Linked DNA regions of Oryzias latipes. The protein of the gene in region 1 binds, or shares a complex with, the protein of each later gene. Links are inferred from orthologs where the notes say so. Each region holds a gene or a part of one and is shown on either strand. Other genes may lie near its edges.

Region 1 (4,019 bases):
TTGAACTGTTGGTGCCGTTTAAAGGATTGTGTTGAAATCCCATTAGATGCGCACAAACAAACAAAGTTCTTTCTAAATATTGTTTTATTTGTGTTATTCTTCACTTGTTTATGTTGTGAACCCAGACACAACGACGAGCCTGCATTAGGTTTTTTTAAATAAACATAAACCAGGGCCACTCTCCTGACAGGATGGGAATCCATATCCACCATTGCAAGGACACTAGCAAGGAACCAGACCGTTTCCATTTCATGCCCAAACTCGAGATTCACGCCGCTTCAACATTTTGCACCTAGCCTCATGTCGGTGGCGGACATGCGCTAGAAAACAGAAAAAGAGGAGGAAGCCCCTCCCTGCTTGTCAAGTGGGAACACCGAAATGCATACAGCATGTTCTTGAACACGCGTCAGAAGCCCAGTGTGTCTGTAGCTTCCGGCTTAATGAAACCCCACAGAGAGAGAATGTGGCCTGCAGGGGAAGAGGTCCACAGGGGATGGGTTCAAAGACAAACGCGAGGACAGAAACCCAGTAAGCAGCTCAACCCGCCTGAACTTTCCAGCCACCTTCATGGTTCTGTGTCACGTTTCTGTTTTGATGCTGAGCTTGGTTATCGTTATGATGTCTGCCACGACTGAAAACATCAGCTGGTCATGCCTGCAGAATCCAGGCAGGAAATTTTGTGTTTGCAGCTGCTGACAGTCTGCAGATGTCGTTGAGATGTAAAAAAAAAGGTTTGACTGACTTGGCTCTGCTGAATCATTTCAAAACTAAGGAGCTTCAAAAGTTGTTCGTAAGAATCATGACATCCACCCATTCAGATGCATACACAGGAACTCTATGATTAGATCAGCCTCCAACGCTGCCATGGGCCTTTGGACAGGTTTTTCTACATTTGGGTAACACAAAGTGCATTTGGAAAGACTTACCGGTAAACTGCATTTAGAAAACTCCTAAATGTAGTTTTACCCATTTGTTCATCTGAAGAGGTAATCATCACAGGCCATGTTAAGCAGAGCTCATTGTGACAAATATCTGAACAAGGATTAGCCGAAGACAAGATCGTGGCATAAATCATAAAGATCGTGGAATAAATCATAAAGTCCAGGTGAGGTGTTCAGTCCTGGTGAGCACTCACCTCTTTGGGGAGATGAAGGGGATACAGAGCAGAAGAACGAGGAAGACTTCCACATAAAGGAAGGTGGCCACCGCTGTCCACTGGAGGCTCATCCTGACTCCTGAGAAGAAGACAAGTGAGAGCGAGTGCTTTATCGAGTCCATGTTAAACACAAGTTCAAGAACGGAATACTCAACAGAGCAACAGCACACATTCAGAGCAGGAGGCATCTTGACTTTCTATGCACATCCAGACTAAAACTAAACTAAACTAAAACAACGGAAAACAAGAAGCATTTCTGTTCAATTTGAGCCTGATTCTGAAATCCATGTTTCACAATCAGCTTTCCTCCAGATGATGATTTCATCAGATTAGTCATCTGTTTTACACACACCAGAAGCTCACAGCTATATGCTTTATGGTGTTATCCATACTTGCCCTCCAGCATCTCCAGCTCTACATTCTAATCTCAGCATAACTACACTTTAGTCTTGATGAGCTGATATCTATGGTCTAAACTCCACTCAGAGGTCCCATTGACTCAGAGCAGTTATGTTTTCTCTTATCTCCTGACTCCCTTCTGCTCATCCTGATGTTTCCTCTATGAGCAGAAACATTTAGCTCAGATCTATAGGAGGAGAGACAGAGGAGCGACTCACCAAGATAAACAGCATACAGTGGTCGATGTGGAGACCAAAGCCTGAACTACAACAAAAATACACTGGACCTCACCACAGACCTGACCAGGCTGTCAAAATAAACTCCTTTCCTGTGGCAGCTCCACGGCCTGTGTGTTAGCATCAGGGAGGAGAAAGTTCCTGGAGTGTTCCACACCAACAGAACCTCACAGGAGTCCAGCTGGACAGAGACTGATCAGAAACTCGGCGTATTTTTGAGGAAACTCTTCTGAGATGGGGAGCCAGTTGGGGGGCTCTGGTGCTGAGGGGCGTGGCAGCTTCAGACAGCTGTGTCACGATGCAGCGATCAGTCGTGATTAAGACCAGCGCCTGACAGCAATCAGCCGATCTGAACCGGCGTCACTCAGCTGTGTCCTCTGACTTAGATTACTCTGTTAAGATTCATCTTGATCATCATTCGCTGTAAATTAAAATAGATGGTTTCTGCAAACCCCTAAAAGTCTGACTGAGGCCAATGACTGAAGACAATATTTTATTAAGTAGCGGTAGCCAACTTGTTAGCTGTTCTTTATTACACCGCAAAAATGCGCGTTAAACACAAGACGATTAGGGACCGTGTATTTGCTGGAATGCGTCTAACTTAATTTGATTTCTATATTTTAGTACATAAACTGGTTAACTGACCTTTATTTTTCGTTTAACCAAATTGGAAACCGTGGCTTTCTTTGAGATTAGAATGTTTCTTGTTTTTAAAAGACACTGACGCCGTCCACTCTCGGCAGAAGCCGTTTTATTGTCAAATCATAAGCGATGTTTTGAAATGCAGTCGGGCGGGCAGCTGCTAGCATGCTAGCCGCTGACGACAATGGTATGACTCCGCATTTTACCGAACAAGGTTGCCATCAGAAGGCTGACTAGACTTACCTCAAGTACACAGACCAAGAGAAAAATGCCTTCCTGCCCAAAGAGACGTAAAAAAGCTTGTAAATGCTGCTCTGCTAGCCTGTTGTGACAACTTCCGGTCCACTTCCGGCTCTTTAATGCCAGCTCATCGTCTAACGTGATTGGATGATTCAAATGTAGTAGGAGGAACTGCACTCTACAGTTGACGTGAGGACATTGACAATAAAATATAATAAATATATAGTCATATGTGATGGAGTCAATGCGTCAGATTTAATAAAAGTAATTAATACAATTATTTTGTTTAATGGTATTGTAGCGACCTGGGGGTCAGTCCCGCCTTCAGCCCCTAAGGCTCATGGGAAGTGGGGAGCTTAGGGTGAAACATTGAGTCAGAGGGCTGGAAGCTGAAGTGACCCTCCATGCTGTTTGGGCTGTATGTGTGCTGGAATAAACAGGCTTGTTGCTTAAAAGCTAATATTGCCTCTCTCTACGTTTCTTGCAACCTGAGACTGTCCGGGGTCGTGCGGTGTATGGGGCACGGACAGCTCTCCATTAAAACCTCTTCATGAGCAGTTGGCTTTCGCTACCCCACTAAAGTGACGGTCCGGCCGGATCGTTACAATGGTGTCAGAAGAGGGATTGCTTAGCCGCTGCTACAACATGGAGAGCATCTCCATGGAGGGTGAGACGGAGCAGCTGTTCCTGGTGGCAGTCTGGGACAAGGGAGGAGTAAGGGCGATGACACCACCCTGATGGATCGAGCACCCACCGTCATCCGCAGCCTGGCCCTGCCCGGCACCAACGTTAGAACATCCGGACCAGACTGTGATGACGGTGCGCAGCCCAGCTGAACCTTCACAACACAATTAGCAAAACACAGGAACACACTGGCTGGAGACTCCTTCGCACAATCCTGGGTTTCGACCGCCACCGTGTACAGTCCTCCTCTTAACTGGCTGGGTTAGCACATCTGCAACTGACACAGTTCCATGCCAGTATGTGCCCAGCCAGGAGAACCAGTCCCCGCCTCCGTGGAAGCACCACCATCAGGGTGCACGTCACCATGGGGGAGTAGACTCTCTCCAAGTGAAGAGCTGCACACCAGCAGCAGAAGGTCCCCAGGCATCCCAGGCGATCGTCGTCGTCACTACGGCGGCGAGACTCCAGCTGCTGTAGGGTCTGCTTCTTCAAACCCTCCTCCCCAAAGCGAAGCTCTGCTGTCCGCGCTGACAGGTCTCGCAGCTCCGCAGGTGGGAGGTCCAGCAGTGTAGGGCCCTCTAACGCCAGGTCTGAGTGTGTGAGAAGTCCCTTTCGGTGTCTAGCCCTCATTGCCGGTCGCCAGGTTGACCTGAGCCAGGTGT
Region 2 (4,248 bases), on another chromosome or scaffold:
ATGAGTCTGTGTCCTCACTGTGCAGCTCCTTCAGCGTCAGACTGAGACATCCTAAGTGTCTGAAGGAGCGACACCGCAGGTCGTTTCTACCTTCTGCCATCAGACTTTACAACCTTAGCTGCTCCCAGTGAACCACGTCAAACAACATCATCGACTCGATCCTATCTTACCCTGTGCAATAACCGATCATATGATCATCCTGTGCAATATTTTGGAAGGTATGTGTGTATATTGTGTATATAGGTGTTCATACTTATTCCATAGTCTTTTTCTTTTATATACTGCTCTCTGTTCCTGTACTGCTGCCGCAATAAGGAAATTTCCCCATCGTGGGACTAATAAAGGAATATCTATCCATCTATCTAAATGTTGCAGCAGAAATGGAAACTCATCAGACCAGACAATATTTTTCCAATCGTCTATTGTCCAGTTTTGGTGAATCTGTGTGAATTGTGGCCTCTGGTTCCTGTTCTTAGCAGACAGGAGTGGCCCCCGGTGTGGTCTTCTGCTGCTGTAGCCTATCTGCCTCAAGGTTGGACATGTTGTGCATTCAGCAAGGCATCAACAAGGTATTTCCACCCACAAAACTGCCGCTCACTGGATAGTTTCTCTTTTTCAGACCATTCTCTGTACATCATAGATATAGTTGTGGGTGAAAATCCTAGTAGACCAGCAGTTTCTGAAATACTCAGACGAGCCCGTCTGACACCAACAACCAATGCCACGTTCAAAGTCCCTCAATGACACTTCTTTGCCATTCTGATGCAGCAGGTCGTCCTGAGAGTGGATGTCGTCTAGTTCCTCCATGGCAACTTCCATATTGAAAAATGATGGCGACTGAATTGACTTCATTATGTTGGAACCAGAAGTAAAGTCATTTTCTGTGGGTGATGTCGCACTTCCTTTGAACACAGTCAAGTTCCAGGATACAGTCAATGTGTTTAACATTTTTATTTCATATAACATTTGCACCACTTTACACATATGTATTTTATATTATGGTACTCATTTTGATTCCAATGAATTTAAAATAATAAAAAATAAAATAAAGAAATTGAAAATAAAAAATAAATCTTTGCTAGAAATTACTGTGAATTTAATTACTGCATAATACTTTTCTGGGAATGAGCCAAACTAAACAATTAACATAAAATTCCACCACTGTAAAAGCCTATTTTTATTTTTAGATGTTATATAATAATAATAGTTTTATTTCTGTAAATATTTGAATTGAAATTCTCTCTGTGTTATTACATAACAATTGTCGTTTGAGGATATTGCGTAACACGCTTTTGTATTTTGTAGTAGTTGCCGGAAATGTTTATATTTTCCAAATTATTGTTATTATTATTTGCCTTTTTTGCTATTGAAGTTTGGCCTTATGTGTTTGGTCAGTCAGAAAAAATAAAATTATATCAGCATGGTGAAGTATTTTGGTACCGGTGACGTAATCTCGTGTCACGTGATTCAAAGTGGGCGGCCCTTTTCGTTGTTTTCCGGAAACATGGAGGCTGTTTTGAGTGATATAGTAGCTCCTGAGGACCTTTTGGTAAGTTTGTACATTGTCACACATATTTACTTTCCAACTGTGACGCCTAGAAGTGTGGTTAACTTTACTGACACCGACAATCCCAACATTGGTTAAAAGAAACTAGTACTTTAGCCAAATACAACGTTCCGACGTCAACCTCTGTTTCGTCACGTAGGCAGCTAATGCTAACATTTACGTTTGGGATCAAAACTGTCATCTCAACCGTTTTTCTGACGGCTGAAAAATACATTTTCATAAATGGTTGGTTTGGTTTATATTGATTTTTGATTTTGTCACGAGACAAAAGTGGTAATTTAAGCTTAAAAATGGAAACCTGAGGGTCTAGGTTTCATATTCGGGTCGTTGTCGTTCACATTCATGTTAAATATTTGTGTTTGACAGAAATTTGAGAAGAAATACAACAGTGAGCTCGACAAGGGGGCCGTCTCCAAGGACACGAAGTTTGAGTATGCCTGGTGCTTGATCAGGAGTAAATACTCGGGGGACATCCAGAAGGGAATCGCGTTGTTGGAGGGTAAGTGAAGGCAGCACGCCGTTATTTATCACATGTACATTTCCATTGATAGATGGATAGATAGATGGAAAATGGACGACTTATCTTTTACTTCAACTGCCAAGAATAGTTTTTGCTCTTGGTTATGCTTAAAAGTCTGTATTATTTGCCATTTAAAGTAATTAATTTCACTTATAAACTCCTAGTCATACTTTGTTGACATTTAGATTTTTTTGTTTTTTGTTGGAGAATTATGAAATATTTCTATATTAAACAACCCCCATCAATAAAAGAGTGGAAAACAGCTTTACTTTACTCTCTATTACAAAAAAAACAAGTTTCTTATTTCCAGAGATAAGGGATGTTCCCTGAAAGGACCGGAAAGTTCTTCACTGATTTTAGCCCATTGACTCTACACTCACGGGGTACTTCATTAGGCACACCTGCCCAACGGCTCGTTAATACAAATGTCTAAACAGCCAATCACACGGGAGCAACTCTGTGCATTATAGGGATGTAGACATGGTTAAGATGATCTGCTGCAGTTCAAACATCAGAATGAGGAAGAAAGATGATTGAAGGGTCTTTGAACATGGCATCGGTTGTTTGTGTCAGATTATGATTATTATTATGTTTATTTCAGAAACTGCTACCTTCTGAATGTTGCCACATTTGGATAGTAGGGTCAGAACTTGGCATCAACAACATGCAGGCATAAATCCAACTTGCCTTGTATCAACGGTTCAGGCTGGTGGTGGTGGTATCATGGTGTGGGGGATATTTTTCTTGGCACACTTTGAGCCCAGACTGAATATGTTCCTTTTTTGTCTTTTTTTTTAAAGAAAAACTCCAAATAATAATGTGACCATGCATTATTTAGAAAACATTTTAATTGATAAAAAATGAATAAAAAAAGTTTTTTTTATGAAAAAGCACAATTTTTATCGTTATATGAGAGGCAAAGATGAATATTCATTTTAAGGGGCAGATAGAAATCTGAATTTTAAATCTCATTGCACTTTTTTTTTACTGTACACATACATTGATGAAATCTCAACCCAAATGTATATTTAAATACTAAATTCAAGCACTAGAGGTAATAATGAAATAATATGTACGGTGGCCCAGAAGGGCCACAACACAACACTTTAGATTTCGCAACACAACACAAAATAACATACTACAATTCGTCACAACACTAAACAATAACTCACAACATTTTAACTCACTTCCTATTTGAGTTAAAATATTGTGACGTATTGTGTTGTGAGTTATAGTGTTGTGTTGTGAGTTATTGTGTTACAACGCCACAGCCTACCTGAGTATTGCTGTTGACCGTGTCCATCCCTTTGTGACCACAGTGTACCATCTTCTGATGGCTACTTCCAGCAGGATGAGGCGTCATGTCATAAAGCTGGTTTCATGTCAGACTGGTTTCTTGAACACGACAATGAGTTCATTGGACCCGAATCGTCTCCACAGTCACCAAATCTCAACCCAATAGATTAAGCTCCAACCCGGCCTAATAAATTGGCTGATGAGTGTACATGAGAACTTGACTGAGTGTGACATCATCCATAAAAAGAGGTTCACGTCCAGCTCCAACCATATGAAGTCAATTCAGTCCTCTGGTTTTTTTTTTTAGCAATATGAATGCCGCCATGTTGAAACCAGAAATCATGAGTAAGCCCTGATTGGTCTGAGCCGGTCTGAATCATTGTTTTTATGGCAACCAGTCTTCCAGTCAGAAGTGATCTTATTGGAAAGTCACACCCCTACCACTTAAAATACGGGCTCAGGAGAATCAATGATTCAATACGAGGCGGCAGACATCTGGTTGGTTCAGAACTTGAATAATTTCACTACGAAAAAATCTTAAAAAACACTCAGATTAGGATATCAGAGATAGGATGGTGATTGTGACAAATAGAATGACTATTAGCTGTTGATTCCTCCCTAGAAATCTATGGGACTTTGACTTTTTGGGACTTCCTGTTTGGAATGCGAGGGGGGAGGGGTCACTCTGTCCAGTTCTCATATACAGTCAATGGTTTGGCCTGAATCCTCTCAGGGAATAAGTCAACTGAATTAAAAGAAAAGATTAAATAAATATCCACTAAGGCAGATGGTATATAAATGGTCTGGTTCTTGTGAGGATTTTTTTCCAGCATTCATGGCAGAAACGCTTTTATTTTTCTCCTGT

Evidence for each region. Proteins that work in one complex are often made in the same cells at the same time.
Region 2: the proteins of bcap31 (region 1) and fis1 are in contact, whole or in part, in a crystal structure (PDB 8XWX), measured with the Homo sapiens proteins. The link is inferred for Oryzias latipes from reciprocal best matches to the Homo sapiens genes BCAP31 and FIS1. Residues at the interface, in NP_001132913.1 of Homo sapiens: Asp224, Leu227, Glu228, Ala231, Lys232, Ala235; in NP_057152.2 of Homo sapiens: Arg52, Val56, Glu59, Glu60, Pro63, Lys64, Lys89.

The regions. Positions count from the first base shown.
Region 1 is NC_019865.2:31,915,092-31,919,110, forward strand, and holds the start of bcap31 (B-cell receptor-associated protein 31), read right to left. Parts: upstream 2,808-4,019; 5' UTR 2,677-2,807; intron 1,236-2,676; 5' UTR 1,228-1,235; coding exon 1,136-1,227; intron 1-1,135. UniProt on the Homo sapiens protein: Functions as a chaperone protein. Is one of the most abundant endoplasmic reticulum (ER) proteins.
Region 2 is NC_019876.2:17,585,877-17,590,124, reverse strand, and holds the start of fis1 (mitochondrial fission 1 protein), read left to right. Parts: upstream 1-1,442; 5' UTR 1,443-1,504; coding exon 1,505-1,549; intron 1,550-1,601; exon of another isoform or gene 1,602-1,789; coding exon of another isoform or gene 1,790-1,792; intron 1,793-1,933; coding exon 1,934-2,066; intron 2,067-4,248. UniProt on the Homo sapiens protein: Involved in the fragmentation of the mitochondrial network and its perinuclear clustering. Plays a minor role in the recruitment and association of the fission mediator dynamin-related protein 1 (DNM1L) to the mitochondrial surface and mitochondrial fission.